Linked DNA regions of Oryctolagus cuniculus. The main gene of each other region encodes a partner of the protein of the gene in region 3 in a complex. Links are inferred from orthologs where the notes say so. Each region holds a gene or a part of one and is shown on either strand. Other genes may lie near its edges.

Region 1 (2,800 bases), on a different chromosome or scaffold from region 3:
AGAAGCTAGAATCCGGAGGAGAGCCAGGGCTTGAACCCAGGCCCTCTGACATGTTACACAGGTGTCCCAAGCAGTATCCTAACCATCGTGCCAAACGCCCACCCCACTTTAGATCTTCAGTGCATTTCTCTTACATTTTGGAAAGACATTGGTTAGAACCCGAAATGTAAGTGTGCACCATGGTCTCCAGTGGAAGACTGAGGATAGATTTCCATTTTTAGTAGGAAAAAGAATGCTTCCCCTGCCTTCCTGGATTTGCTTTCTATCAGAAGACATGAGCACACTTTGTGGATTCAACAGAGGCCAGGCAATGTTCAACAGGGTGAGTTTTAACATAAAATGTTGGTTGAAACTATTCAAGTCTAATGAATGCAAGAACTTTGTACTTGGTCTCCGTCCTGTGACATTGGGAGCTATGGAAAGAGCAGTTTTCTTGGCAGTACCCTGCAGGGTTGCAAAGAGGAGCCTCCCTCTGCCTCCCCTTCCTGATGGAGTGAACCAAAGTCCCTTGGCATATCCTTATAAAAATGTTAAGGCCCATGGAACTATTTAAAGATTAAAAAAACTCATGTAATTTTATTTTGGAAAGCACTAATATATCTCAGTTACATTTAGCTACAGTACAAAGAATGATAAAATAGCACCTGGGAGTTTTTTAGTAGGCTGTGAAGAATCTCATCTTCCTTATTTTCCCTCCACTTTGCTAAACAAACAAAAGAACCGCGCGCTCCCGCTCCCACCAGTCCAGTCTATGGGGTCCTCAGAGGTCTGATTTTCATGCGAACAGCCCTGAGGGAGTAGTCTGCCCCTCGGAACGGGACCCACACCACTCCGTTCTCGATCTCGTAGGGACTGTTGTTCCTCGGGTCATAGGGGCCCCCAGGGTAGTAGATGCCATTGAGATTGGCTGCTTGGCAGTTGTTGTACCACCAGCCTCCTCCATAGACTTCCGCACAGTTCTCTTCCCAGTGGTCTGCATCCCTGTCAAAGGTGCTGAACTGCATGCTGTTGTGAGACGTGTACTCTGCTCCTTCCTCCACGGAGCCTTCAATCAGAGCATCCCCGGCGGTGCCCTCATAGGAGGAGACCTGCAGGGCATAGCCTTCTGCCTCGGAGCCCACCCGAAAGTGATATTCTGCATAAGCGCCTCTCCCATCCCAGTCTTCTAACTCCACCCTAAGGACGGAGGCCCTCAGCGTTAGGAGATGGAGCTGATCGTTGCCTAGCCAGAATTCTCCTTCCCCCTTGTCATTCAGGCTGCCGAAACCTCTCTTGTAGTCTTGCCAGGTCCGGTTAAAATTCAGTGATCCATCCATTCTTTGCTGGATCAAAAGCCATCCTCCCAGACTGGTCTCTTGATCGCAATAAACAGAAAAAATCTTACTGGATCCCGGTAGCTTGATATTGAAAATACCACTTTGGGCACCTGAAGGATGTGTTTGGAGGACATCATCACAGTCTAAAAAAAAAATTAAGCTGGTTGGAAGAAGTTACTCTCATTTAACTTCACAAAGATAGGCATGGCGCAGATTAAAGAGGACAAATACTACTCCCCTCCCTCCTTTCCTTCCTTCCTTCCTGATTTTCTTCCATCCCCTTGTGGGGAAAGGATGCATTTACATTCGGATAGGATTTTGTGCAAGTGAGGAGCAGACACCTACAAAATCTAAGATTATTTTCCCCAAATAGATTTGGAATTTTACTTGTGCATACTGACGAATAGCAAGTGATCAGAAAAAGCGACTAAGCATCACTTAATACTAATACAACTTGTTATTTACCTATCTAAATGTCAGCTGATACATGCAGTGAAAGCATGGTTAATCTATTGGATAGCAATTCGAACAGCACGCATTTTGAGTGGTGAAAGAATCTGGTTAGACAAACTCAAATCGAGTTGCAGAAGAACTCATTCATTTCATTTCACATGTATTTATTGAGGGATGACTGTCTGCACTGTTAGGCATTTGGGAATACAGAGATGAAGAGAGTTGACAAAGTCCCTGCCCCCATGGAACTTACAGTCTAACATGAGAGAGAGACTCCCCCCAAAAAAGAGTGCAATTTCAATAAAGAGGAATAGAAAGAAGTACAGGGTGCCGTGGGAGCATTTTGCAGATGTAATTAACTTAGTCTAGGGGGTCAGAGAATGCTTCCCCGAAGGAGAAGTGTGGATACCTCTGGAAGGGCGCACTTTAGCATGGGTTCTCCTGCTGGTGTGGGTGTGTCTGAGTTCCTGGTCGGCTTCCCCTCCAGCCTCATCTGCCATTTTGTAGCTTTTGCTCTCGACGGTGGAGCCTCCTCTGTTGAACGCTGTGTGGCTGGTGACTATCTGTTTTCTATGAGTTGTGGTCTTGCCACTGGAAGGGAAGCTCGTGTGGTGAGAACCGGCTCCCTCCGCATCTGTGAAGAAGTCCGATTCAGAGCCCATAGACTGGCTCTTACTGCCAAACTCTTTGAAAGAAGTTGAAAGTAAACCTGGGAATGTTGATGCTTTTCCTGTGGAGGAAGTGTCAAAGAAAGATGCCTCGCCAGGGTGCCTAAAGGAGAAGTCATCCAGGCTGCCTCTGGACATGAAAGAGTGCATCGAGTCTAGATCGGGCACCTCGGGACACTCAGAGCCGTCTTCAGAGTGCACCACTTCTTTGACCACTTGTTTGTGGCCGTCGGGACCTGTAACAGTCTTGGTGATGGTTTTGGAGCAAGAACGACGCACGGTGGACGTGCTACTGCTGCTACCAGACGTGGCCCTCTCGTTACTAATCAGCATCTCTTTGTCTCCTTTCGAAGTGACCAGTTT
Region 2 (4,075 bases), on a different chromosome or scaffold from region 3:
ACAGCGTGCCCGAAGCCCTGGGTTTGGTGTGTGGTCCTTTAAAAAGCATCACCAGACGAGGGCTGTTCTTTGTTGCTGCTTCTCGAAGGTGATGATTTCGCTTTTTTTCCTTTTCTTTCCTCTTTTCCCTTCCTTCCTCCCCTTCTTTCCTTTTAGAAACTTCACTGTCTTTAAAGACCCCAAGAATGTCCAGACCATTGAGGAACATCCTCTTAGTTTTTTAATTCCATTCTTTCTGTTTCTTTTTCTTTCTTGGACCAAACAGGAGAGGGAGGAGGCGGGGTAGGGGGGAGTGGGTGGGAGGGCGGGTGCGGTGGGAAGAGTTACTATGTCTCTAATGTTGTAAGTATGAGATACATACAAAATAAATACATAAAAAAGTGTTACTAAACACTCCCTCTTATCTCTGCTGGGGAAACATAGAGAACTCTTTGGGCTCCAAAGTCAGGGAGAAGGGAAAGGTGGGGTCTCGGCCGTTGGGAGGGACACGCCTCCCCCGGGAAGCACCCGGTCTGTGTTTTGCTCAGCCAGCTCCACACTGCGCCTGCGCCCACACGCAGCACCCTGCGGTGAGCGGAAGCCCAGCATGGGGCCTTGGGTCATGGAGCGAGGCTTCAGCCAGGCCCCTGTGCCAGCCGCTTGGGAGTCTTCTGAAGAGGCCAGGACAGAGTTGGAGACCCTCATTTCAAGGCAGGAAGGGTCAGTGCAGCCAAGAGCGCTGGCCTTGAAGTCAGCCCCCGGGCACCAAGCCTCTTTCTGCCACTAACACCATGTGTGACGCTGGATGTTTCCTTCTGCCCTGGCAGCCTCGGCGCAGGCGCTAGTGCACTCAGGGGGTTGGATTCTGTGATGACCCTTTGTCTCAGCTGGGTGGGGGGTGGGGGTGGGGGGCTCACGGAGACCCTCTCCTCCAATTGCCATGGTCTGTGATGCAGTAAGCCCAGCCCAGGCTCAAGCCACGCTCTCCCAATCTGCAGAAAAAGAATTGAGACTAGTGAAAGGGAAGGACTGGCCTGAGGGTGCCCCCTCCCCATTTCTGGAAGGCAGCAGCCAGTGGCCCGTGTAAACCACCCCCACCCCAGAGTGGCCATTCCATTCCAGGCAAGTGGTGATCAGTGTGGGGCTTGGGAGCATGTAAGAGGGGCCTGGTAACAGCCCCTGGCTCCTGCTGCTTTGCTTTCAACAGGAAGCCTGCTGGGACAGGACAGGGCGGGCCAGGCGGGGCCAGGCGGGGCCAGGCGGGGCCAGAGGAGGGGTGGAGACAGAGCCACCGTGGTCAGTCAGGTACAAAGGCTGGCTGTCTCCAGGCAGCCCTCTGCCCTCTGCTGTGTCCGACAGACCGCCACCTCCTTTTGTGCACGCTGGGCCTGCAGAGTAAGTATAGCTCCTGCTCCCGGGGGGCCCGTGGGAGGCACAGGAGTGCAGGGAGGGGCACAGGCAGCCTGGAGCATGGTGGGCTTACAATGCTCAAGAGCCCTGGGGGAGTGTCAGAGCAGCTGGAAGGGCCCCTGCAGGGTCAGGGGGCAAGCGGGGCTCTGAGGCAGCAGAGAGGGTCCCCCCACCCCCGCTCCAGGACCTCGGGCTCCACACTCAATGTGGCAGAGCCTCTGCATGGTGTGGCTCTCACCCCACCACAGCCGGCAGTGTCTGGAGACAGGTGGCCTGTCACCGCTGGACAAGGTAGGACAGGTACTAAGGGCTGGAGGCCAGGGACATCGCCAGACACCCCCCAGTGTACAGCAGGGCCCCGGAGAGGGAAGGATCTTGCTGCCTGTGCCCCCTGGGCCAAGGTCAGGGAGCCCTGAAATAAAGCAGCGGGAAGGTGTCTGCTAGACAGCCCTCAGTCAGTGGTGGCTCGTGCTATTTTCTGGGCCTAGAGACTCAGAAAAATTACCAGGAGAAATGGCCAAAGATAACTCCTTCCCCGAGATAAGGGCCCTGCCTGGGGGCTGCCCCCAGGGGCAGTCGTGGGGTGGCTCCAGGAGCCCTTAGGCGCTTTGTTAAGTAAACAAACAGAGAAAGGAAGTTAACAGCTCTGGATGGCCCCTTGGGCTAAAGCGGCAATCAAAGCAGAGGCTACCCTGGGCCAGGGCCCTGGGTCCCAGCTCAGGGAACCCCAGCCTGAGAGCCGGGGTGCGGGAGGTGCCGGCCACGTCTGGCATTGACTGTCGGGTGGCCTCATGGTGCGCACTCGTGTGCTTGCTGGGGCAGCTCATGAAATCAGCTCAGACCAGCAGAGAGGAAGCCCAGCACACGCTCTGCTCATGCTCAAGGTCACCCGCAGAGCTCAGCTGCGGGTGCCCAGCCTGGCTCTGGTGCCAGCACTCAGTGTCCAGCAGGCGTCCGCCACCTGCGGATTTCACAGGAGGAGCCAAGGTCCATTCATTCCTTCACCTGCTCACTCACTCACTCATTCGCCCCGCCTCGTCCATGATAGCAACAGCTCACTGCAGAGAGTGGGGTTGAGGCACTGGGAGAATTGGGCCTCAGGGCAGAGTGGGCCAGAGAGGCTGGGAGAGCCAGGTCACTGGGGCCTCAAGGGTCAGGGTCACAGTGGACCCCTGCAGTGGTGCACCTCAGTCTTCCTGCCTGTGAAATGGAGCTGCCTCCGTGGGAAAGGCGTGAGGCTGGAGGAGCAGAAATGTCAACACTGTGCGGTGCCCGACAGAGGTGCCGCCGCCACCATGGGCCTGGGCCTCCCGCACGGCGATGGCAGAGGCTGCTGGCTTGGTGCCGGGGGGCTGTGGCTCTGCAGGCACAGCCTCCTCCATCAGCCTCCTTCTCCAAGCTCAGCGTGCAGCGTGGAGGCCAGGAGTACTCAACGTGGCTCAGACAGACAGACCTGCAGCCCTGGTCTGCCCATCTCTCCCCGGCTCAGCAACCATTTCCCACGCCACTGCTGGGGGCCCCTTGGGCGTGGTTGGGGTCAGGTGACCGGCAGGCTGGCCCCGCTTGCCCTGGGCCTGCAGGGCCCGATAGGATGGTGCCCAGAGTGGGAGAGAACCCAGCAGGAGGGGACTCACTCCAGGAATGGAACGCAGCGGGGACAACCGCCTAGAAGCAGGCAGGCCATCCGCAGCTCGGCAATCGGCTGCCGGGGCTGCTTTCAGGTGCACAGGAGGGTACGTGTAGAAGGCGTGCACCCCACGCAAAGCAGATGAAATGGGGTCTCAGGCGAGGCCTTGGCCAGACGTGGCCCCACTGGCTCCTCATGCACTGGCACTTCTGCCAGCTTTTATCTATGGTGATCAGCTGAAGGCCACAGGTGCCCAGGGAGCCGGTCCTGATATCACTTCTGCCTTTCGGGTGGGAGTGGGGGCTCCAGTGTAACTGACCTGCCCCACATCACATGACCAGGCCGCAGTAGGGCTGAGATTGGCACCGGGTAGTGGGCTTTGCAGTGTGGGCTCTGCAAAGCCGTGGGGTAGACGAGGGACTTAGAACAGAAGCCAGACAGGGAAGCAGGAACAGGAGATGGCTCCAGGGTGGAGGAAGGGAGGGAGGAGGTGCTGAAGGCAGAAGGCAGGCAGAAAGAGCTAAGCTGACACAGGCCACCTGACGGCCCCCAGGGCCACGCGGAGAGCCTCCTCCTCTGGAAGATGGAAAGAGAAGATGGGCTGTGTCCTGGGGCACCAGAGACAACCCCCCCCCCCCCCCCCCCGCCGCCGCCTGAGCAGCAGAAATTCCTCTCTAGTGCTGGAGGCCAAGCCTGAGACCGAGGTGCCAGGGGGTCTCTGCAGGCCCCTCCGTGGTGGATAGATGCTGCCTTCTCCGTGTCCCACCGTGGTCCTGCTCTGCACCTGTCATGTCCACAGCCCCGTGCACCTGTGTGTCCTCACCTCTGCACCTGTGTGTCCTCACCTCTGCACCTGTCTGTGTCCTCACCTCTGCACCTGTGTGTCCTCACCTCCTCTGCACTTGTGTGTCCACAGCCCCTCTGCACCTGTGTGTCCTCACCTCTGCACCTATCTGCGTCCTCACCTCCCCTTCTATTATGAGGACATTGGTCTGGTCCCTCCCTAGTGGCCTTGTTTTGGCTCGATCACCTCTATCAAGGCTCTGTCTTTAAATGCAT
Region 3 (3,619 bases):
GCCTCAGGCAGCTCGGCCCTGTGTGATTTCATTCATCACAGGCGCCAGAGTGTGGCCAGACAGACAACCACACCATCTCAGGTGCACTGCGTGATGAGCCCGTGTTTCTTTTCTTTTCTTTTTTTTTTTTAAAGATGTATTTATTTATTTATTTATTTGAAAGGCAAGACTTACAGAGAGCAGAGGCGGGGCGGGGGGGTGTGTCTTTCATCCACTGCTTCACTCCCCAGATGGCCGCGACAGCCAGAGCTGAGCCGATCCGAAAGCAGGAGCCAGGAGCTTCTTCTGGGTCTCCCACGTGGGTGCAGGGGCTCAAGGACCTGGGCCACCTTCTACTGCTTTCCCAGGTCATAGCAGAGAGCTGGATCAGAAGAGGAGCAGCCGGGACTCAAACCGGCCCCCATATGGGATGCCTGCACTGTAGGCGGCGGCTTTACCCGCTATGCCACAGCGCCGGCCTCAAGAGCCCATATTTCTTACGCGACTGTGGACAGGCCAGGTGGCTCCGCTGGTCTCAGCTGCTGTGGGGTCCACTGAGGGAGGCTGGGCTGGGCTGGACACCTCTGCCTTCACTGATGGCTTGAGCTGAGCTTGGCTCCTTGCTCCAGGGTTGGGCCCAGATCCGTGGCACACATTCAGGGGGACATCAGAACATTTGTGGAAAAATGGAATTAAAATCATCCATTTATTTTGGAATAAAAAATTCTTCTGGTGCCAAAAAACCTTTTTTTTTCTCCCACAGTATGTGGAAAATGCGCATTCTGAAAAAGCTATGCATGGGCTTCAATATGTTTTTGCACCAAAATAACTCATACTTTTCACTCCATTTTTCCATGAACTTTTTGAAGTCCCCATGCGTTCATGGTCAGGGGGGAGGCAGAATGAGGCAGCTGTTGACACCAGAAATATACCATTTGTGTTTTTTTTTTTCAGGTTTATTTATTTATATGAAAGGCAGAGGGGGAGAGAGGGAGAGAGGGAGAGAGAGAGAGAGAGAGAGAGAGAGAGAGAGAGGTTTCATCTGCTGATTGACTCCCCAGATGGCTGCAGTGGCCAGGGCTGGGCCAGGCTGAAGCCAGAAGCCAGGAGCGTCATCTAGAGCTCCCATGTGGGTGGCAGGAGCCCGGGCACTTGGGCCATCTCTCGCTGCTTGTCCCAGGCTCATTAGCAGGGAGCTAGATTGAAGTGGAGCAGCCGGGACACACACGGCAGCCATGTGGGATGTTGGCATGGCAGACGGCAGCTTCCCCGGCTCCGCCACAGCACCTGCCCCGTCACCAGTCATCTTAACCCAAACAGCTGCCTGTGACCAGCATCCGCTGACGTCTGTCCCTGCCCTGCCCTGCCCTGCCCCTAGGGAAACAGAATCCTGGCGAATCTCCCCACAGTCACTCCCAGTGGATTACAGCTGGCCCAGGAAGCCAACCCTGGCTCCTGGGCTGCTGCAGGTCTTGCTTAGGCCTCCCACCTGCAAGAATGCCTTTAGCAAGCCCTTGAAAAGCAGGCAACAGAAGCCCAGAGAAGTTAGGCTGCCTGAGGTCGCTGGGGCAGACAGCAGCCAAGGCGCGGATTGGAATTCTTGTCTGGCGCCGCCTAGCGGCGGCCCACCCACCCTACTCTCTGCCTCCCCACCCACCAGGCCAGGGGCAAGTGACCCTGGAGCTGAGACCACGCACTGGACACTCCGGGGTGACGCAGCCCCCGCCACTGGAGCCCTGCGTCTCTGAGCGCGGCAGGCACTATCAGGGGCGCCTGGCGGTCACCAAACAAGGGACCCCTTGCCTGGCCTGGAGCAGCCCGGAGGCCCAGGCTCTGAGCAGGGGCAAGAGCTTCAGCCCGCAAGTGCCGCTGGTGGAGAACTTCTGCCGCAACCCGGACGGGGACGAGGAGGGCGCGTGGTGCTACGTGGCCGGGAGGCCCAGCAGCTTCGAGTACTGCGGCCTCAACTACTGCGGTGAGTGGGCCGGCAGAGGTGGGCGTGGGGGGCGCAGGGCCTCTCCCCGTTTACAGACGAGTAAACTGAGGCCCCGGCGGTACCTGTGCTGTCGGCCTCCAAGGCCAGCAGGGGTGGGGGTGGGGGTGGGGGCAGTCTAGGGGACGCTCTGAAGAGTGGCCCAGCCCAGCCCAGCCCAGCGCCGACGGTGCCTGGGCCCCTGCAGAGGAGGCCATAGAAGAGGAGGTACTTGGGCTGGAAGAGGCCATCGAGGGGCGCACCACGGAGCAGGAGTTCCAGACCTTCTTCAACCAGGAGACCTTCGGCACCGGGGAGGCGGGTGAGACGAGGGCGGCCCTGGGGGGCGGTGCGGGGGCGGCGGGGCCGGGGCCTCACAGCCTGCCCTGCTCTGCAGACTGTGGGCTGCGTCCTCTCTTTGAGAAGAAGTCGTTGAAGGACGAAAGGGAGGAGGAGCTTCTGGAGTCCTACATCCACGGGCGCATCGTCGGGGGCCGCGACGCCCAGATCGGCAGCGCGCCCTGGTGCGTCCGCCTGCCCCGCCACCCGCCCCGCGCTGCCAGGGCCACGCACAGCCCTGGGAAGCCCTTTCCGCCCCCAGGCTCAGGGTTTACAGAAGCTCTGGGCGGGGCTGAGCCTGGTGCTTCTGCTGAGCAAACCTGGAGCCAGCTCTGTCCAGTTAGTTCCCTGCTCCCCGCTACTTAAAGGTTCGTTTATTCATTTGAGAGGCAGAGTTAGAGAGAGAGAGAGAGAGAGAGATTTTCCATTTTCGGATTCACTCCCCAAATGGTCTGCCGGGTCTCCCAGGCAGGTGCAGGGGCCCAAGAGCGTGGGCCATCTTCCGCTGCTTCTCCAGGCCACAAGCAGAGAGCTAGATGAGAAACGGAGCAGCTGGGACTCAAACTGGTGCCCAGATGGGCTGTGGGTGCTGAGGGAGCATCTTAACCCTCTGAGGGCCCTCCAGCTGGTTTTAGACTTATTTACCTGAGGCAGAGTTACAGTCAGAGATTCCCCAAATGGCTGCAATGGCCAGAGCTGGGCCCATCCGAAGCCAGGAGCTTCTTCCAGGTCTTCCATGCGGGTGCCGGGGCCCAAGCACTTGGGCCATCTTCCGCTGCTTTCCCAGGCCATCCGCAGGGAGCTGGATCCGAAGAGGAGCAGCTGGGTCTTGAACTGGTGCCCACATAGGATGTAGGCAGACTTAGCCCACTACGTCATGGCACCAGCCCGCCCCCCCCCCCCCAGCTAGTTCTTTATTTTATTTTATTTATTTGAGAGGTAGAGTTACAGACAGGGAGAGACAGAGAAAGATCTTCCATCCACTGGTCCACTCCCCAAATGGCCACAAGGGCCAGAGCTGGGCCAATCTGAAGGCAGGAGCCAGGAGCTTCCTCCGAATCTCCCATGCAGGTGCAGGGGCCCAGGGACTTGAGCCAACTTCTACTGCCTTCCCAGGCCATAGCAGAGAGCTGGATCAGAAGAGGAGCAGCCGGGACTCCAGCCAGCACCTGTATGGGATGAGGGCACCGCAGGCAGAGGCTTTAGCCTATTAACACCACGGTGCCCCTCCCCACCCCCCAGCTAGTTCTTAAGCCAGGGGCTTTCTACTTGCAGGGCTGGTGGAGGGCGGGTCCCCAGCTCCTCACGGCCCCTGCTCCCCTCCCAGGC
Region 4 (3,883 bases), on a different chromosome or scaffold from region 3:
TCTTTAAAAGAAAAAAGAGCAACAAGTAGAGTTCATGAGCTAAAAAGAAAATAAATTTTTAAATTTGGTAAGAGATGAGTGCTTGAATTCAACTTGGGAAGTTATCCCAAAAGACCAAAATGTTTGTTATGTCAAAAAAACTCTCAACTCTATCAACAAAAATGAAGCATTCACTGTTCCCTTAGATTTATAACACTCAGTAAACACTCAGCACTTGCTACAAAAATCCCCATCTTTGCTGAGAATACTTAGCCATTGCTTGAGTGAACGGCAATTAAGGTTTGAATGAGGATGTCTATAATAATTATTCCTCGAAATGATCTATAAACTGAGAAGTGTTGAATCTGGGAATAGTGTTTGATTGTCAGGTTTAGAGAGAAAAGATAAGCAAAGTCCAGGGGCTTCAAGTTTCCTGCTGTTTGCCTAAGCACAAAGGCTTATTACAAGAGGTTGACATATTTTTAAAAGGCTCAATTTTTTTTTTGCTATGCTTTCAAAATAGCAGAGAAATGGCTTCTTTTTCTACCCATAACACTTTATTTTTACTTTGTACAAAATACAAAAATGCAGATCCAAAGAGTACAGACCAGTAGTGACAGGCACACTGCACAACAGCAAATCTTGTGTGGCAAGACATTAGTTTTTTAAAACTTTATTTTAGTGAATACATGCATTATATAAAACAACAACAGCAGCAACAACAAAAACACAGAGAGGCTAGAGATTTTGCTATTTCTACCCCCAAAATAATGCTTGCTATCAAGACTTTGGATGGAGGTGGGGAAAGAGAATTAAAAAGGCAAATATTTATTTCCATAAAAAAGTAAAAGCTACCATAAAATGTCCTCATTTTTTTCCTGTCACACTGATTACATTTCTTTTGAAAAGCCACACAAATAAACAGAAACAAAAACAAAAATCCTGAACTGAACAGACAGCAAACACTCAGGAGGGTTTGTTAACCTAGGTAACCATTCAGTAGTTTAAAGAATCTTCTAGACATGTCGAAGCCTTTCTATTCACTCTCAGTACAGTGTTCCATCCGTCTGCCCTTTTACCCTTCTAATACCTCCCAGAACAGAATTGCTTGCATCACTGAGTCTGTTGCTAAGAACTAGTTTTGAAAAAGAAAGTAATGTACAAAAATATTTAACAGAACTATGAAAGATGTAGGAAAGGAGTCTTTTCTTCATAGCAAAGTAGTCTGCTCTTTGCAATGGTTCGTTTGTATACTCTTCAGGGTTTGTTTATTTGCCCCATGAATAAGACAGCACCTACAGAATTAAAAGGAAACAATATATAAAAGAATAATCTTTACAAGAAGTTGAAAGACATTATATTTGGTCTGTGTTGGGGGAGGTGCTATGTTTAACCTATCACTTGGTAATACTGTCTAATAGAACTTTCTGCATGATAGAAATTGTCTTTGCTTCACAGACCAGTAGGGTAGCCCCAAGTGACAAGTGCCCAACTGAGTGCTTGAAATGTGGCTGGTGTTACTAAGAAACTGAATTTTTAATTATATTTCATGGTAATTTAAAGTTAAACAGCCACATGGCCTGGAAGCTGCCACACTGAACTGTTTGGCTTCTGAGCACACTAATTAGAACATTAAAGATGCAATGAGATAGAAGGATGAGGAACTGTTTTCTCTAACTGATTTTTAAAAAATAGTAGAATCTATAATTTCTTAGTGCCTGCTCTCTACCAACAAGAAGTCAAACTTTAAAAAGAAAGTCATGTACTTCATTATTGTATTAAGACATAGGGATGCTTGTTATGTTCATTTTAATTATGACACTAGAGGTCAGGGCCAAGTATGAACACATAACTCATAGAGCTAAGGTCTATTGATCAAGCAATTCTCAGGTCATATTGGCACTTTGGGCTTGCAAAGGTTAAAGATGTGTAGCTCCTTGCAAACCTTACTGCATTTATAAAAACATGGAAAATCCAGCAGATGTCCAAAATATCCCATTGACCTCTTTGCATGTTAGAAACTTAAAAATATACCCAGAATTTGGTCAGCTTTCAAAAGTTTCCATCACATTCTAAAAACACAGTCTTGATTTCCCTATCTACTGTGGTGTTTATATTATTGAAAGTGTTTGTGAAACTGACACAAGAGAAATGGACTAAGGGCAATACTGTCAGATCAACTGCAACTGCAACGCGTGTTTCTGAATACTAACAACTAGTGAACAATGGAACAGGAGAGTTACTTACCTGTCGGATTATGTCGAATGAAAAACAGAAAAGGTCTGTCTACTATAAACCAGGGAGGTGATGATCTTGCAATTAGAATTGCAGCTATGGGAAGAAGAGGAAAATGTGTTATACACCTAATGTGAGGCCAGCAAGGTAGTTAGCTAGAGGGACCCTCAGAGGCAGGTATTTGAGGATACACTTAATTCCTGCCCCATAGGCTGGCTGAATTAAAATGGGCTCAACAGTCACCATGTACTGAACACCTGCCGTGGGCCAGACCCTTTATATTTGCCATCTCATTTGTTCTTTAGAAGCACTATCTTCTCCAATAGATGTACTTACTCTTCATGGAGTTTTTATGAGGACTGACATAAAACATGTTCCAGCTATTAGAAAGTGATTGCCACTCAATAAACACCCAATGCCTATTCAATGTTTTTTTTTTTTTTTTTATTATTCATACCATCTGCCTTGCTGATAAAGGCCCCTGTCCCTTTTTATCCAAACCCTTTCTGTATATCAAGGCCTAGCTTAGTCCTTAATATTTTTATCAGTGCTTTCTTCTTTGACAAATCATTTAGAGGTGTTCCTTGTGCCAGAAACTGGAACACTCTGGACAACTTATCTCATGGAGACATCTGACTTACAAGCTTCTGGAGGCTCATGGGTCTTACACATGCCTGTTCTGCCACAGCTACCAAAGGTGGCTTCCACTGGAAAGACACAAGGCCTTGAAGGAGGGCAGGTGTGAGGCATAACTACCACACCTCTGCTGCAATAGCTCAAACCCCTGAAAAGCATTAACAACTTGAGCTTGACATTATAAAGGAAACACCTGCAGATTCCGGAGCAAACCATTCCACCCAAGGGTCATTAAACACAAACTATAGGTGTTACAGGCCCGGTGGTGTCCCTTTCAAAATTCATTATGTAGAAGCTTCAACCCCTAATGTGTCTTAGAGATAGGGCCGTAAAGGAGGTAATTAGGTTAAATGAGGTTCAAAGGGTGCTTCCAATAGGACTGGTGTCTACATCAGAAGGCGTAGAGACACCAGGATGGACACACAGAGAAAACAGCCATATGAGGACACTGTGTGGAGGCACCCTCTGCAAGCCAGGGGGAGGGACTTGAGAAGACGCCAAACCTGCCAATGTCTTGGTCTCGGACTTCCAGCCTCCAGAACCATGAGAAAATAGATTTTTGTGGTTTAATCCATCTGCACAATGGGAGTTTGTTATGTCAGCCTGAGCTTATACAGCAGGACCTGGGTGGCTACACAAGGCCCTGCACTTGGGTTTAACAAGGTTTAAATGTCACTACAAGACCTAAAGAAGATTTAAGTCATCTTAAAAATTCCAGCCTGCTTATTCTAGGTCTTTGTTTTAGATGCTCTTTTAAAGCAAGGAAAAAATGTTTGAGAAAGGCAATAAAGCAAGCATCTCTTGTGAGTATAAACAGTGTGTTTCAGTGACCAAAAATATTCTACCCAGCTACAAGTTTTGCTGATACGCACTTTATGAGCTCACAGAATTTGGTCAAATCTCTTCATCCAATATCATATGGATAATTAGAGGCAAAAAAATTGCCTTGAGATTGGCCTGTTTTCTCCTTCATTATGTAACCACCAAGGAGAAAGCTGGTGTGGATGCTCTGATTATCAAAGGAGGCTGCCCA
Region 5 (3,589 bases), on a different chromosome or scaffold from region 3:
AGAACCAGTAGCAAACCCGGGGAGGGCCGAGCAGACAAAAGAACAGTGCAGGGTCCTGTGTCGTTCCTCCACGAAGAGGGGGAGCGACATAATGGTGCCGTGACTCGGATATGAAGCCTAGGCAGGGCTTAGTGTCGTTCCTCCATGAAGAGGGGGAGCGACATAATGGGGCCGTGACTCGGATATGAAGCCTAGGCAGGGTTTAGTGTCGCTCCTCCATGAAGAGGGGGAGCGACATAATGGTGCCGTGACTCGGATATGAAGCCTAGGCAGGGCTTAGTGTTGTTCCTCCATGAAGAGGGGGAGCGACACCCGGGCCCCCGCTTGCCAGAGGGGGGCCGCCTGCCTTCCCACATTCTGCTCAGTCACTTCCTGGCTGGCTGGTGCCGGGAGTCCCCGAGTGTGTGACCAGACCAGGGCTCCAAGGGCAGGAAACAGCCACGCCAGCCCCTCCCCCTCCAGTCCATTCCATCTCCCCCCCCCCCACCGCCCCGCTTGGCCCAGCCCTGACCACACAGGGGCCCCCCGGGTGGGCCGGGCAGCCCTGTGGGGTTGGGTATGGGCCCCAGGAAGGCACCCCACCCTGTGCCTCAGTTTACCATCTTCCCAGGGTGCATGAACTGTGCCCATCCGGTGCCCCGGTGCAGGGATGGGGGGCAGCTGGAGGAGGGAGGGGCCTGGTCCTTGCCTTTGGGAGTCACCCCCGGGGGACCCCAGGCTGGGGGTGAGCCAGGACCAGGAGCTGAGCGGCTGTGACAACCAGGGACAGACCGGCGCCTCCCAAGGGGGCACCGGCTGAGGTCCACTGAGACCCCAGGGCAGCGCCAGGGACCAAGATGCTCCCCCACACCCCCAGCTATTCCCACAAGACCCCAGGCTCACCAGGCACCTTGCACCTCTGCTGCTCTTCCCCAGGGGGAAGGTTCTGGGGCAGCCGGAGGGGACGGGGCCCCCTCAGAGGTCACAGGTGCTTGGGAGAGGCCCTCATCAGGCTGTGGACCTCTGACCCCGCAAAGCAGGCTCCTGCCCTGCCCCACAGGGAGAGGAGGAAGTGGGGATGGGAGGGGGGGCTTCAGGAAGGGCCAAGAGCCCCCGATGGCCACTCCCCCCGCCCTGCTGTGCCAGCAGGAAGTGAGCACTCAGGCCACAGACACATCCTGGGCTGGACAGGGGCCCAGAACAGGGGCTGTGGCTGGGGACCCCCTCCCGTCTTGCTGGTCGGGCTCTGCACTGGCCAGAGGCATCTCAGGTGCCCCATGGCCTGGAGCACCACCCCTCCTCCCCGCCGGGGCAGTGTACACTCGGGGCTCCCCCAGGGGGACCAGGGGCGCTCTAGTGGGCCTGTGGGGGCAGGGGCTGTGCCTCCCGGGTTTATCTCCCCGTGGGGACACTGCCTGTGCCTCCGCCCCGGCTCCGGAAGCTGGGGGCAGAGGGGTCAGGGGGGCAGGAAGCCCTGTGAAGGGGAGAGAGGCCGCAGCCCATAGCAGCCCTGGCCGCCCGCCCGCCCAGCAGCATGTGGCGGCTCCGGCTCCTGCTCCTCTGGGCGCTGATGCTGGGGCGCAGCCTGGGACGCAGCACCCAGGCCCCCAGTGACTACGACGAGACGGAAAACCCGACGGGTGATGAAGGTGAGTGAACCCAGCCTGGGCCGTGGTGGACTGCAGAGATGGAGCTGTGGGGGGGTGGGGGTGGGGCGTGTGGGGAGAGGGAGCTGGGGACCCCTCTGTGGTCCTGGGGGCTGGGCCATGTCCCCCGGGGGGACACTCCATCCCCTGCATCAGCCGGAGAGACCGCAGCTCCTAAGCGACCCCTGCCCCTACCCCTGATTGACAGTTGCATCCCTCTCTCTCTCTCTCTCTCTCTCTCTCTCCAGCAGGGGGTTCCACTGTCTCTCTCCTTCCAGCACGCCCCCGCAGCTTCCCTGGCCAGCCGTGCCTCAATGACAGCCACACGCTGCGGCTGTCCAACGGCTCTCAGCAGCTGCTGCTGGGCTGGGTGCCCACCCGGCTCGTGCCGGGCCTCTACGGACTGGTGCTGGTGGTGGGGCTGCCCGCCAACGGGCTGGCGCTGTGGGTGCTGGCCACGCGCGTGCCCCGCCTGCCCTCCACCCTGCTGCTCATGAACCTGGCGGCCGCCGACCTGCTGCTGGCCCTGGTGCTGCCACCCCGCCTCGCCTACCACCTGCGGGGCCAGCGCTGGCCCTTCGGCGAGGCCGCCTGCCGCGCCGCCACCGCCGCCCTCTACGGCCACATGTACGGCTCGCTGCTGCTGCTGGCCGCCGTCAGCCTGGACCGCTACCTGGCCCTGGTGCACCCGCTGCGGGCGCGGGCCCTGCGCGGCCAGCGCCTGGCCGCCGGGCTCTGCGCCGCCGCCTGGCTCTCGGCCGCCGCCCTGGCGGCGCCCCTGCTCATGCAGCGCCAGACCTTCCGGCTGGCCGGCTCGGACCGCGTGCTGTGCCACGACGTGCTGCCCCAGGACGCGCAGCTGGCCTACTGGCGGCCGGCCTTCACCTGCCTGGCGCTGCTCGGCTGCTTCCTGCCCCTGCTGGCCATGCTGCTGTGCCACGGGGCCACGCTGCGCACGCTGGCGGCCGGCGGGCAGCGCTACGGCCACGCGCTGCGGCTGACCGCGCTGGTGCTGGCCTCGGCCGTGGGCTTCTTCACGCCCAGCAACGTCCTGCTACTGCTGCACTACACGAACCCGCGCCACGGCGGCTGGGGCGACCTGTACGGCGCCTACGTGCCCAGCCTGGCGGTCAGCACGCTCAACAGCTGCGTGGACCCCTTCGTGTACTACTACGTCTCGGCCGAGTTCAGGGACAAGGTGCGCGAGGGGCTCTCCCGCCGGCCGCCAGGGGGCGCCACGGCCTCCAAGGCCTCGGGGGAGGGCGGCGGCCCGGCGGCCTCGGGCACTCGCTCCTCCTCCCTGCTGTGAGGGACGCCCCCCCCCCCACCGCTCGCCCCCACTCCACCCCCACCCCGTCAAGAGCGGGCGACAAGAGTACTGGGGGGGCCTCCCTCACAAATTCGCGCCCTTCCTGGAACCTTGGAAATGGAGCCATCCTGGAGCACCTGCTGACACCTGCTATGATTGACGTCTGCGTGAGGGGCGGAGCCAGAGACGCGAGGGGATGGGGTTAGAGGCGCGCGGGGCGGGGGCAAGGGGCGTGGCTAGAGGCGCAGGGGCGGGGAGAGACGCGATGGGCGGCGCACCGAAGCACAGGGGAGGAGCTAAAGGCGCCAGAGGCGGAGCTAGAGCCGAGAAGGGAAGCCGCTTGTGGACGCTGGTACAGGCTGGCGCGGTGCAGCCGCGAGCCGAGGCGCAGGAGAGGTTCCCCCGGAGGCCGGAGAGGGGCCCCCTGCCCACACCCTGCTTTGGGAGCCCCGGCCTCCAGGCCCGTGAAGCAATAAATGTCCTGTCCTCAGCGACCTGGTTTGAGGGACTCCATTACAGCGGCCCCAGGGCGTGGTGGGGGGGCGAGAAATCGACGAGGAATGAGATGCAGATGGGCTGGACACCACGCCCAGGTCCTCGCACTCAGCCTCTGGCTCCACCCCGCTCGTGGGGGCGGTCCGAGTGGCCGCGGGCC
Region 6 (4,303 bases), on a different chromosome or scaffold from region 3:
GCGGTCTCAGCACGCTGTCTGCAGCCGGAAGGGACAGGTTCTGCGGGCACACTCTGGGGAGCCTTGGGCAGGGGCGCAGGGACCACTTACCGGCCAGAGGGAACTGCCTCCTCTCACCTGGGGTTAGCTCTCGGCTCAGGACGTTGTCGTGTTTGTGTGCAAACTCCGCCAGCAGCAGGCACCCGGGGGCCCGCACTCCTGGGTGACGGCGACACAGAGCAGAGCCAGCGAGCACAATGAGCGGCACCGGGCTCCCGCAGGACGCTGCCCTCCCAGGAACCCAGGGGACTTCAGTTCTCGGAACGCGGAGTTAAACGCCGCCTGTTCTGCTCTTCCCAGCACACAGCTGCGGAGCGAGCGAGCGCCCTGGTCCCAGCTCCACCTGGGGGAGTGCTGCTGCCGAGGCGCGGCCCGGGGGGCTGGCATGGCGGCAGAGCCACTGGAGACACCACAGTTCCCCCACGGGCCCCCAAGAGCACGCGGGCTCCCCGGGGCTTCCTAGTATGGGGACAGAACGGGAAGGAGAAGGCGTCACCCACAGACCACACACGGGGCCAGAAAGTGCTGGGAAAATGCCTCTCGGAACCTGCCAGTAGTCCATGGATCGACGGCTTAATGAACTTGACCAAACTTTAGGCCCAACTTACATCCGTATGCGTCTAAAAATCTGCACAATGTGGCTGCGGTGGACAAGCAGGGTGCACATCACTTCACGTTAGAAGATTAAAGAGTGACACTAAAGAAAGTAGCCAACCCGTGTGAGGGGCGGCGCTGTGGTGTAGCGGGTAAAGCCACCGCTTGCAGTGCCGCATCGCACATGGGCGCCAGTTCGAGTCCTGGCTGCTCCACTTCCCATCCAGCTCTCTGCTATGGGCTGGGAAGGCAGTAGAAGATGGCCCACGGCCTTGGGCTCCTGTGCCCACGCGGGAGACCTGGAAGAAACTCCTGGCTCCTGGCTTCTCTCTGGCCCAGCCCTGCTATGGTGGCCATTTGGGGACTGAACCAGCAGATGGACGCTCTCACGCTCTCTGCCTTTCTAATAAAATTAAAATCAATAAGAAGGAATTGTTGAAACACCATAACCAATAGAACAATAGATGAGCCGACGGGCGGCACGCTCGGGAGCACCGTGTCCACTTCGCCGCGTGCAGCCCTGCACACACGGCGCTGCTGCGGAACCGGAGCCGCGTCTGCGCCAGCAACCCGCGGTCTGGGTCCCCAGGGCCGCGCGCGTCAAGGGCGCCGGAGCGGGCCGGGGGTTGGGTCCGGAGGCAGCGGCCGGTCTCGGTAGGTGGCGACCCAGGGCGAGCGGCAGGCGCGCGCCGCGCGGAGGCAGAGGAGTGCGCCCCCCGCGGCTCCCTGGACCCCCGCCCGTGCGCCCGCGGTAGCCCCGCCCCAGGCCCCGCCCCCAGCGTCTCCCCCGCCCTCTGGGCCCCGCGCCCGCCCCCGGCTCCGCCCCTCCAGCTCCGCCAGTGCCCGCGCGCCCGCAGACCCGGGAGAGCGGCCGCGACTCGGGACAATGGGGCCGCGGCGGCTGCTGCTGGTCGCCGCCGGCCTCAGCCTGTGCTGGCCTCTGCTGAGCGCCCGCGCCCCACACCGCGACCCAGGTGAGCGGCGGGAGCGGGTCGGACCCTGAGTCCAGCCCCGAGGGTGCCCGGCCGGTCCCCGGGGCCGCAGTGCGCCCCGGAAGCCCCCGGCGCGTGGCTGAGGCCGGAGCCCTGCGCGCGGTGCCCGCGGACGTGGCTGGGGGGGGGGGCGCAGGGTGGGGCAGGGGCGTCCCGCAGCTGGAACGCCTCGCCCGCCGGTCAGGCCGCCTGCCCAGGTCAATAGGGCAGACGGCTTGCTCGGCCGCGCTCCGGAGCTGCGGGCAGGGCGTCCAGCCGGTCACGCCCGCGCGCTGTGACAGACGCGGGAGCCGTCGGGGCCCGGGTCGGGTGGGGACGACGTGGGTGGGGGGCGCCCCACTCTCGCCGTGTACACTTGGCCTTTGGGGCGTCCCAGGACCGCAGCCCGGCGCGGCCGTCGGGGAGCCCGCAGGCTGGTGGAGACGCGGTGGGCAAGATCGGGGCCCCTGACCGGGTCCTGCCACGTCCCCTGCTTCCTTCCGTGAGACGGACAGCGCAGAAAGGGACTGGCCGGCGTCCGCGGGGCCTGGAGCCTCGCAGGGAGTGGGGGGTGGGGGCGGCAGGAGGGAGGCTGAGGGCAAAGTGGCCGGCTGTCTGCTCTCTCCAGCCTGGCGCCACCCGCTCCCTCTGGAATCGCCTGGTTAAGGCGGGGACTCGGTTCCTCCTGCCGGTTCTGAAAGCTGGGCTCGGCTCGGAGCAGACGCCAGGTTCTGTCCGGCAGTCCCGAGTGCCGGTGCCCACTGGCTAGCCCCGCCCAGGAGTGCCCTGCTGAGAGCTGGTTCCTCAGCTTTCCTGGGGCGCCCTGGCACCGCCCATTCTGCTCTGCGTGTGCGGGGTGCCTCTGCCTGTCACTCTGGGGGGTGACCGGGAGAACCCCCCGGGATCTGGTCCCTGGTGCATGCATGGCTGTGCCGCTGAGGTTCAGCGCGGCGTTTCCCACCTGCTCCTGCTTTGTGGCTTCTTCCCCGCTGCCTGTCTCCCACTCACTCCCACCTGCAGCCCTGCAGTGGAGACCTGGCGCTGTGGCCGTGCTCTTTCTGGGGTGAACTCGGCTGGGCCCCCTCCCGCCCCACCCCGTGACCCGGAGACCCCCTGAGCCGGGTGACGAGGCGGCGTCTGCGGGTGCTGCAGAAGGAGCTCCCTGAGAAGTGAGCGAGGTTCCTGTCACTTTCATGACGATGCGTCTGTAACTTTAGGAGGCGTGTGCCGCGACCCCTGGTTCAGTGACAGGCTGGAGACCCGGCGCTGGGGTCCCGAGGCGGTTTTCGGTTTTCCCTTGTGCAAACCACGAGTGAGAACTGGAAGCCATGGAGTTGCTGCGCAGGTAGCGAGGGCACCACGGCCCTCACCCAGGAGTTGCCCTGCGTGCTCTCCCGGAACATCCTACACAGTCTGCGTTCCTGCTGTCGCTGTAGCTGATTCCATAACCCCTGCCAAGTCGCCCCCGGGGTTCACAGCCGTGCCGCGGCAGCAGAACCCCGGCTCCCGGCTTTGGGAGGAAGCCGCCCCAGGGCTGCTCCTGGTGGGTCGCTCGGGTCGGGGGCCGCAGCAGGACAGGGAGGGGTGCGGGGCCCAGCGTGGGACCTGTGGGAACGGAGGTTCCCGGGAGGCAGCCGACCCCCTGCACTGAGCATCGAGCTTCGGTTCTGCCTGGCGTCTCGTAAGAAACAGGCAGAGAGAGACAGAGACTGATAAGACAGAGAGAGAGAGAGAGAGAGATCTTCCATCTGCTGGCCGCAGCAGCCAGGGCTGAGCCAGGCCAAAGCCGAGATCCAGGAGCGCCATCCTGGTCTGCGGCTGCTGGAGCCGTCACTGCGGGCTTCTCGGCGTTAGCAGGAGTGGGGTCAGGTCAGAGCAGCCAGGACTGGCAGCCCGCAGCCGGACCCCGGCAGGCAGAGGCCCCGCCCCCTGCGCCACAGCGCGGCCCCCGGCGGCCTCCTGTGACCCTGCGGCCAGCGTGACCCTCTGTGCCCCTGCGGCGCTGCTCGTCCACTCGCTGCTCTTGAACCTGACCCTCTCTCGAACGGCATGACCTGAAGTCACTAGGGGACGGGGCCCTCCCACGTCCCACACTGCAGCGTCTGGGCTCGAGTCCCGGCTCCACTGCCGACCCAGCCCCCTGCTCATGCACCCTGCGCCGTGGGGGAGACCTGGAGAGGAGCTGTCTGCTCTCGTTCAAGTTGAACCCTAGCTCTGCTGCTGTTGAAGACGTGGCTGCACCCCTGGGTCCTGTGCGCTTTGCTGGGAACCTGGGAACCTTTGTGGGAACCTGGGCCTGGCCCTGGGCCTCTGCTCATTCCCCCAGCTTGAGCCACACAGGGCAGCACGGAGTCCTGCCGGCTGGCGGCTGGGGGAGGCCGCCGTGGACTCGCTCCCAGGGTCAGGCGGGAGAGGCATGGCCCAAGAGGGCGCCCTGTGGTCGTCCAGTCCCGCAGCCCCGTGTCGTCCAGTCCCGGGGCCCCGTGTGGTCGTCCAGTCCCGCGGCCCCATGTGGTCATCCAGTCCCGCGGCCCCGAGGTGCTTGGAGAAGCCGGGAGGCTGCAGCAGGGCAGGTCGGCTGACTTGAGGACCCGCACTGCTCTTTCTGCAGAGTAACAGCCAAAGCACAATGACTCACTGGGCACGGGCCCCTGACCGCAGCTCTTGACCCCTGAGCCGGGGGGGGGGGAGGGCAGCGA
Region 7 (4,409 bases), on a different chromosome or scaffold from region 3:
TTGTGACTGCGTTTGCTTAGTCTCTTAGTAGGAGTCAGACTCAGGGAGAGAAGCAGTGAGGGCAGGAGGAGACACTGGAGGTGTCCGTGATGGGGGACAGGGAGTCTCCGCAGGCTCTTGAGCGGGTGAATGTCACAGTCCCAGCCACAAATGATTCAGAGGGGGAAGTTGCTGGGTGGGGAAAAGGAAGCAGGCAGTCCAGAGAAGTAACTGGGGCCTCTACCAGGATGGGAGCAGTATAAGCGGAAAGTAGGCATAAAACGAAAGCGACGGTGTACAAACACTTTTAACAAGACGCTGTCTCATCCACCCCAGCTAATCAGATGAGATGCATGAGAAAAGCTGGGAGACTTTTTAACTGGCTGGTGGTGTGGCGACACCATTGACAAAGACTGAAGGATCAGGGAGGGGAGCTAACAGGAAGAGAACAAGGCAAGATGCGGTTTTTGGTAGAGTCACTTTGTTATCATGACGACTGATCGTTACGGCACCTAGACATTTATATTTGTTTTCAAGTCGAGAAACCTAACTATTGCATTGTCAAGACTCAGAACTAAGCACTGAAGTGTCGGCATTTCCTGTGAATCAGGGGTATTTCTCCCGCTAACCTACTTCATCACAGTTTGAAGTAAGGTTGGTTTCCGGGGAGGCAATGCAGGGGAACCAAGAATAGGGAGATTAGTAATAGCCCTAACACACATGGTAAGCTATCAATAGGAAATAGTAAGACTGACATTTTCCTCCGTAGGCAGGGAAGCTTTAGGGGGCAGAACAAAGACAATGGCCCTTCCCCTCCCTCTTTTGTTGCTTTTTCCTGCAGCTGTGTCCCTAGTAGTCAGAACATGGACCATAGATTTTCCACACACCCCCTTCTTGTCCTTAAACTTTCTTCAGATGTAACCAGATGACCCCTTGGGGAAAGCACATGGGCTCCTGGCTTGTTTCCCCTGCGTGTCAGGTGTGGAGCCTTGGTTCTCCCAGACAAAGAGATGCATAGGGCCGAAAAGCTCCTTGGGAATTGAGAACCTATGGGAACGGCCAAGAGAGGGGCAGCAAGGTAGCTCCCAGTGTTACTGGTCCCTAGCAGTATTGCATTATAGACATGGAGAAAGCATTGACTCCCGGTGCCAAAGCCATGGGTTAAACAAGGTTCTGCCTCAAACCAGGAGCTAGGAAAGGCCTTGGGTAATTGAGTTTAGGGTGGCAGGCCCCTCGCAAGGATGGGAGGGCTTGTGCGGAGGGAGGTGGGACCTCTGTGTTTGCTGTCAGCTCGTTTGGGAAGAAGTTGCATAATGCAGCCTCTGGCTCTTCTCCCTCCTCTCGGCCAAGCAAATGCTTCACCCGCCTTAGAGAAGATTTTAGATCAGAGGTAAAACAGTGAGCTGGCCCCAAAAAGGAGGAGCTTAAACCTGTGTGCAAAATCTGGGAAGCCGATTGGGCATAGGTGACGGCCAGGAGGAGACAAAGGGACAAGGGGACGGGAAGGATGTCCCCACCCTTCCGGGAAGGAGGCCCCGTGATCAGCTCCAGCCACTCGCCGTGTCACCCAGCCAGAGCCTGAGCTCACATAAAGGGACAGCCGGAGCCCCGGAGGCCACAGAGCTGACACTGCCGGGCTTGGAGCACCGGGCACCCAAGACATCATGAGTTGGTCCGTGCACCCGCGGAGTTTAATTCTCTATTTCTGTACTCTTTCACTGCTCTCTTCAACATGCCTGGCTGTAAGTGTGCTGTTCCCCACACAGGTGGTTTCAAGTGGAAAGCTGAGAGAATAAGATGATGTGTGATAAACCAGTGACACTTCTGTGTTTTTCTCCTTTAGTACGTGGCTACCAGAGAGAACTGCTGCATCTTAGACCAAAGATTCGTAAGTACTCAGCATGTTTCTCACTTGGGCGGAATGGCAGAGGGGTGGAGAAACAGAAACAGTTCTCTAAGTGCACTTGACAGTTTAAACTTCTTAAACGTGCGAGTGGATTTCACAACATTCACAGAAAATGGAATGAAAACATAGCAAGCATTTTTCCACAAACTTTTTGGAAACTCCTCCTTGTCTAGGCTTTACCTATTTTTATTTATAGAATTTGTTTAATCTTTTAATTAATTACTTTATTTGAAAGGGCAAGGGAGAAAGAGAGACAGACAGAGATCTGCCATCTGTTGGTTCACTCCCCATATGCCCACAATTGCTAGGGCTAAGCCCGGTGGAGACAGGAGCCAGGAATTCAATCAGGGTCTCCCACGTGGGTGGCAGGCACCCACCTACTTGAGACATCACTGCTGTTTCCCTGGACAGGAAGCAGGAATCAGAAACAGAGCTGGATCTCAAACCAAGCACTCTGATAACGGGATGCAGGCGGGCATCCCGAGTTGTGTTTCAAGCACTATGCCAAACGCCCACCCCATATCAATAGACTTGAAGTATAGCTTGTGTCAAGAGTTGTAATTATCTGATGGTTCTATTTTCAGGGTAGTTTTTGCCCAACCACCTGTGGCATTGCAGATTTTATGTATAATTTCCAATCCACTGTGCATGAAGATCTACAGACTTTGGAACACATGTTAAGTCAAATAGAAAACAGATCAACAGAAGCCAACGAACTGATCAAAGCAATCAAAGTCAGCTACGATACTGCTGAACCATCGGTACCAAGTGAGGACCTAAGGTCTTCTGAACGAGAAGATCATTTGTGAAGTTTTCTTGCTGGTGTTTCCAGTGTTCTGTTTGCTTACGTGGCTTTTTATGTTTCTCTTCTCACATTACAGATAAGATAGACAGTGCTACTCAGAAATCCAAGAAAATGGTGGAAGAAATAATGAAATATGAAGCACTGATTCTATCACACGAGTCAAGTATCCGGTAAGCATGTTTGTTTTAATTTGCCTTCCAAGACTGATTTAGTGTTTATTTAACAGCCCATGCTCCGGTGAGAGGAACACTTCCAGGTGTTTTTGTTGTCATTCATAACATCCGATGACAGTATGTGTGGCTATCTTGACCACCATGGAAGCAGGAGTCTTTAGTGCAAGATTGAACTGAGTATATCCTTTTTAAAAATCACACAGGAAAAAAGATGTTCTAGATGTCTTCAAATTTGCCATTATGACCGTATTTATCTCAATGCCTCCCTATTTGTCTTGCAATGTAAAATCAAACTCATGGGAATATGGATGTTAAAAAATCAAATTTGCTTTATAACAAGGACAAGCAATTGGTAGAAAATTAGCAAGTAGAAGTCTAAGCAGGGTCTTGGCTACTAAAGTACATGAGACTGAAGTGGGAAAAAAAATCCCGAGACTACGTTTAATATTGTAAAGCTTTGTATTGATCGTGACACAGAGAACCTGCGATTACACAGGCTGCTGCCTTCGCTTGGAAGTAAATGGTCTCTGCTCACAGCACCCCCCCCCCCCCCCGGAACTCAGGAGCTTTCGGAATATGGGCCCTTACACACAGCTTTAGTTTCTTCCCTACTTTTTTTTTTTTTTTTCCAAATAATTCTCAAAGCAACCTGAGAAATAGTGGCTGCAGAGAAATGATCCAGGGAGGCTCTCTCCTCCCTTTGGTATCAGAAAGTCATTGTTATTCTATTCTTGGGATTGCTATTTTCATTGCCATTTAATTAGTATTGCCCACCATTGCAGTTGAAGCAGAGTATTTTGCAGAAAGTAGCTGAATAACTTGTCTAAATTGTTCACAAGTTAAAGACAACAGTAGTCTGTGCATTGGAGTTTTCTGTCCTTTCTGCGTATTTACAAGCACCCCATGGGAGATCACAAAAGCAGGGGGTTTACTTCCTCCAGCCCTTTTCCCAAGTTATTAAGGAGAAACACTGGAAGAGAGGGAAAGTGGCTGGTGTTCTACCTGTGACCATGCCTCCCACACTCTTCCTGTGTCAGTTACAGATTGAAGTCTGTAAACAGAGCTTTAGTGGATCCACAGCTAAAAGCACATGGAAGTTACTAAACAGACCCTTTGCCACTTCTTAACTACCCCGGGTGCTCCCATCAGCCGGGCTTCTCACCAGCAAAAACCCAAAAGGATCGCTTCCAGGGACCTTTGTTTATTGACAAGGACTTTGTATTCAGAGTCCAGGTTACATGCTTGCTCCAGGTGAAAGATGCAAGTCAAAACTATATTTCTGCTGTAATTGATTGTGTGTGTGTTTGTGTGTGTGTGCACTTCTGTTTACAAAGAAGCATGGACTTTTAATTTACCCCAATTTAATGACAGAATTTTATAGCTGTCCTAAGAATAGAATTTGTCACGCAGTAATTCTTAAATAAATGATAGGATTTTGAAACAATACAAACATACTCCCCCAAAAGGAGTACTTTTCTTCTGGTGTCTTATTGTTCTGTTTGTAGATTTTTGCAGGAAATATATGACTCAAACAATCAAAAGATCA

Evidence for each region.
Region 1: the proteins of F2 (region 3) and FGA are in contact, whole or in part, in a crystal structure (PDB 2A45), measured with the Homo sapiens proteins. The link is inferred for Oryctolagus cuniculus from reciprocal best matches to the Homo sapiens genes F2 and FGA. Residues at the interface, in NP_000497.1 of Homo sapiens: Phe382, Lys384, Ser385, Gln387, Leu423, Arg425, Tyr434, Glu439, Lys440, Ile441, Ser442, Met443, Lys470; in NP_000499.1 of Homo sapiens: Trp52, Pro53, Phe54, Cys55, Ser56, Asp57, Glu58.
Region 2: the proteins of F2 (region 3) and plasma serine protease inhibitor are in contact, whole or in part, in a crystal structure (PDB 3B9F), measured with the Homo sapiens proteins. The link is inferred for Oryctolagus cuniculus from reciprocal best matches to the Homo sapiens genes F2 and SERPINA5. Residues at the interface, in NP_000497.1 of Homo sapiens: Arg383, Pro386, Glu388, Leu389, Leu390, Cys391, His406, Cys407, Tyr410, Pro412, Trp413, Asp414, Lys415, Trp455, Glu457, Asn458, Leu459, Asn506, Arg541, Ile542, Asp562, Ala563, Cys564, Glu565, Gly566, Asp567, Val588, Ser589, Trp590, Gly591; in NP_000615.3 of Homo sapiens: Gln241, Lys295, Lys296, Arg297, Thr368, Ile369, Phe370, Thr371, Phe372, Arg373, Ser374, Ala375, Arg376, Leu377, Asn378.
Region 4: the proteins of F2 (region 3) and SERPINE2 are in contact, whole or in part, in a crystal structure (PDB 4DY7), measured with the Homo sapiens proteins. The link is inferred for Oryctolagus cuniculus from reciprocal best matches to the Homo sapiens genes F2 and SERPINE2. Residues at the interface, in NP_000497.1 of Homo sapiens: His406, Tyr410, Pro412, Trp413, Trp455, Arg456, Glu457, Asn458, Leu459, Glu509, Thr510, Ile542, Asp562, Ala563, Cys564, Glu565, Trp590, Gly591, Glu592, Gly593, Cys594; in NP_006207.1 of Homo sapiens: Val225, Arg288, Ser355, Ala356, Thr358, Thr359, Ala360, Leu362, Ile363, Ala364, Arg365, Ser366, Ser367.
Region 5: the proteins of F2 (region 3) and F2RL3 are in contact, whole or in part, in a crystal structure (PDB 2PV9), measured with the Mus musculus proteins. The link is inferred for Oryctolagus cuniculus from reciprocal best matches to the Homo sapiens genes F2 and F2RL3. Residues at the interface, in NP_034298.1 of Mus musculus: Glu385, Leu386, Leu387, Cys388, His403, Tyr407, Trp410, Asp411, Arg428, Arg453, Glu454, Asn455, Leu456, Trp501, Gly502, Asn503, Trp508, Thr510, Gln516, Arg538, Ile539, Asp559, Ala560, Cys561, Glu562, Gly563, Asp564, Val585, Ser586, Trp587; in NP_032001.2 of Mus musculus: Asp54, Lys55, Pro56, Asn57, Pro58, Arg59, Gly60, Tyr61, Pro62, Gly63, Lys64, Cys66, Asn68, Asp69, Ser70.
Region 6: the proteins of F2 (region 3) and F2R are in contact, whole or in part, in a crystal structure (PDB 3LU9), measured with the Homo sapiens proteins. The link is inferred for Oryctolagus cuniculus from reciprocal best matches to the Homo sapiens genes F2 and F2R. Residues at the interface, in NP_000497.1 of Homo sapiens: Phe382, Arg383, Pro386, Gln387, Glu388, Leu389, Leu390, Cys391, His406, Cys407, Tyr410, Trp413, Lys415, Leu423, Arg425, Arg431, Thr432, Arg433, Tyr434, Ile441, Met443, Glu457, Asn458, Leu459, Asn506, Thr510, Lys517, Gly518, Gln519, Arg541; in NP_001983.2 of Homo sapiens: Ala33, Thr34, Asn35, Thr37, Leu38, Asp39, Pro40, Arg41, Ser42, Phe43, Leu44, Leu45, Arg46, Asn47, Pro48, Asp50, Lys51, Tyr52, Glu53, Pro54, Phe55, Trp56.
Region 7: the proteins of F2 (region 3) and FGG are in contact, whole or in part, in a crystal structure (PDB 2HWL), measured with the Homo sapiens proteins. The link is inferred for Oryctolagus cuniculus from reciprocal best matches to the Homo sapiens genes F2 and FGG. Residues at the interface, in NP_000497.1 of Homo sapiens: His450, Pro451, Arg452, Arg461, Arg486, Ala489, Ala490, Leu493, Ile530, Val531, Glu532, Arg533, Cys536, Asp546, Asn547, Met548, Phe549, Cys550, His605, Phe607, Arg608, Leu609, Lys610, Lys611, Trp612, Lys615; in NP_068656.2 of Homo sapiens: Pro439, Ala440, Glu441, Thr442, Glu443, Tyr444, Asp445, Ser446, Leu447, Tyr448.

Annotation. Positions count from the first base shown.
Region 1 is NC_091439.1:11,081,344-11,084,143, forward strand, and holds the end of FGA (fibrinogen alpha chain), read right to left. Parts: coding exon 2,179-2,800; intron 1,460-2,178; coding exon 750-1,459; 3' UTR 549-749; downstream 1-548. UniProt on the Homo sapiens protein: Cleaved by the protease thrombin to yield monomers which, together with fibrinogen beta (FGB) and fibrinogen gamma (FGG), polymerize to form an insoluble fibrin matrix. Fibrin has a major function in hemostasis as one of the primary components of blood clots.
Region 2 is NC_091451.1:39,381,743-39,385,817, forward strand, and holds the start of plasma serine protease inhibitor, read left to right. Parts: upstream 1-1,235; 5' UTR 1,236-1,374; intron 1,375-4,075. UniProt on the Homo sapiens protein: Heparin-dependent serine protease inhibitor acting in body fluids and secretions. Inactivates serine proteases by binding irreversibly to their serine activation site. Involved in the regulation of intravascular and extravascular proteolytic activities.
Region 3 is NC_091432.1:19,212,966-19,216,584, reverse strand, and holds part of F2 (prothrombin), read left to right. Parts: intron 1-1,639; coding exon 1,640-1,954; intron 1,955-2,159; coding exon 2,160-2,273; intron 2,274-2,348; coding exon 2,349-2,475; intron 2,476-3,617; coding exon 3,618-3,619. UniProt on the Homo sapiens protein: Thrombin, which cleaves bonds after Arg and Lys, converts fibrinogen to fibrin and activates factors V, VII, VIII, XIII, and, in complex with thrombomodulin, protein C. Functions in blood homeostasis, inflammation and wound healing.
Region 4 is NC_091434.1:15,252,153-15,256,035, reverse strand, and holds the end of SERPINE2 (glia-derived nexin), read right to left. Parts: intron 2,311-3,883; coding exon 2,227-2,310; intron 1,275-2,226; coding exon 1,237-1,274; 3' UTR 515-1,236; downstream 1-514. UniProt on the Homo sapiens protein: Serine protease inhibitor with activity toward thrombin, trypsin, and urokinase. Promotes neurite extension by inhibiting thrombin. Binds heparin.
Region 5 is NC_091447.1:65,131,184-65,134,772, forward strand, and holds F2RL3 (proteinase-activated receptor 4), read left to right. Parts: upstream 1-1,399; 5' UTR 1,400-1,513; coding exon 1,514-1,628; intron 1,629-1,873; coding exon 1,874-2,934; 3' UTR 2,935-3,069; downstream 3,070-3,589. UniProt on the Homo sapiens protein: Receptor for activated thrombin or trypsin coupled to G proteins that stimulate phosphoinositide hydrolysis. May play a role in platelets activation.
Region 6 is NC_091445.1:1,175,128-1,179,430, forward strand, and holds the start of F2R (proteinase-activated receptor 1), read left to right. Parts: upstream 1-1,447; 5' UTR 1,448-1,519; coding exon 1,520-1,607; intron 1,608-4,303. UniProt on the Homo sapiens protein: High affinity receptor that binds the activated thrombin, leading to calcium release from intracellular stores.
Region 7 is NC_091439.1:11,111,668-11,116,076, reverse strand, and holds the start of FGG (fibrinogen gamma chain), read left to right. Parts: upstream 1-1,561; 5' UTR 1,562-1,643; coding exon 1,644-1,721; intron 1,722-1,822; coding exon 1,823-1,867; intron 1,868-2,469; coding exon 2,470-2,653; intron 2,654-2,766; coding exon 2,767-2,860; intron 2,861-4,368; coding exon 4,369-4,409. UniProt on the Homo sapiens protein: Together with fibrinogen alpha (FGA) and fibrinogen beta (FGB), polymerizes to form an insoluble fibrin matrix. Has a major function in hemostasis as one of the primary components of blood clots.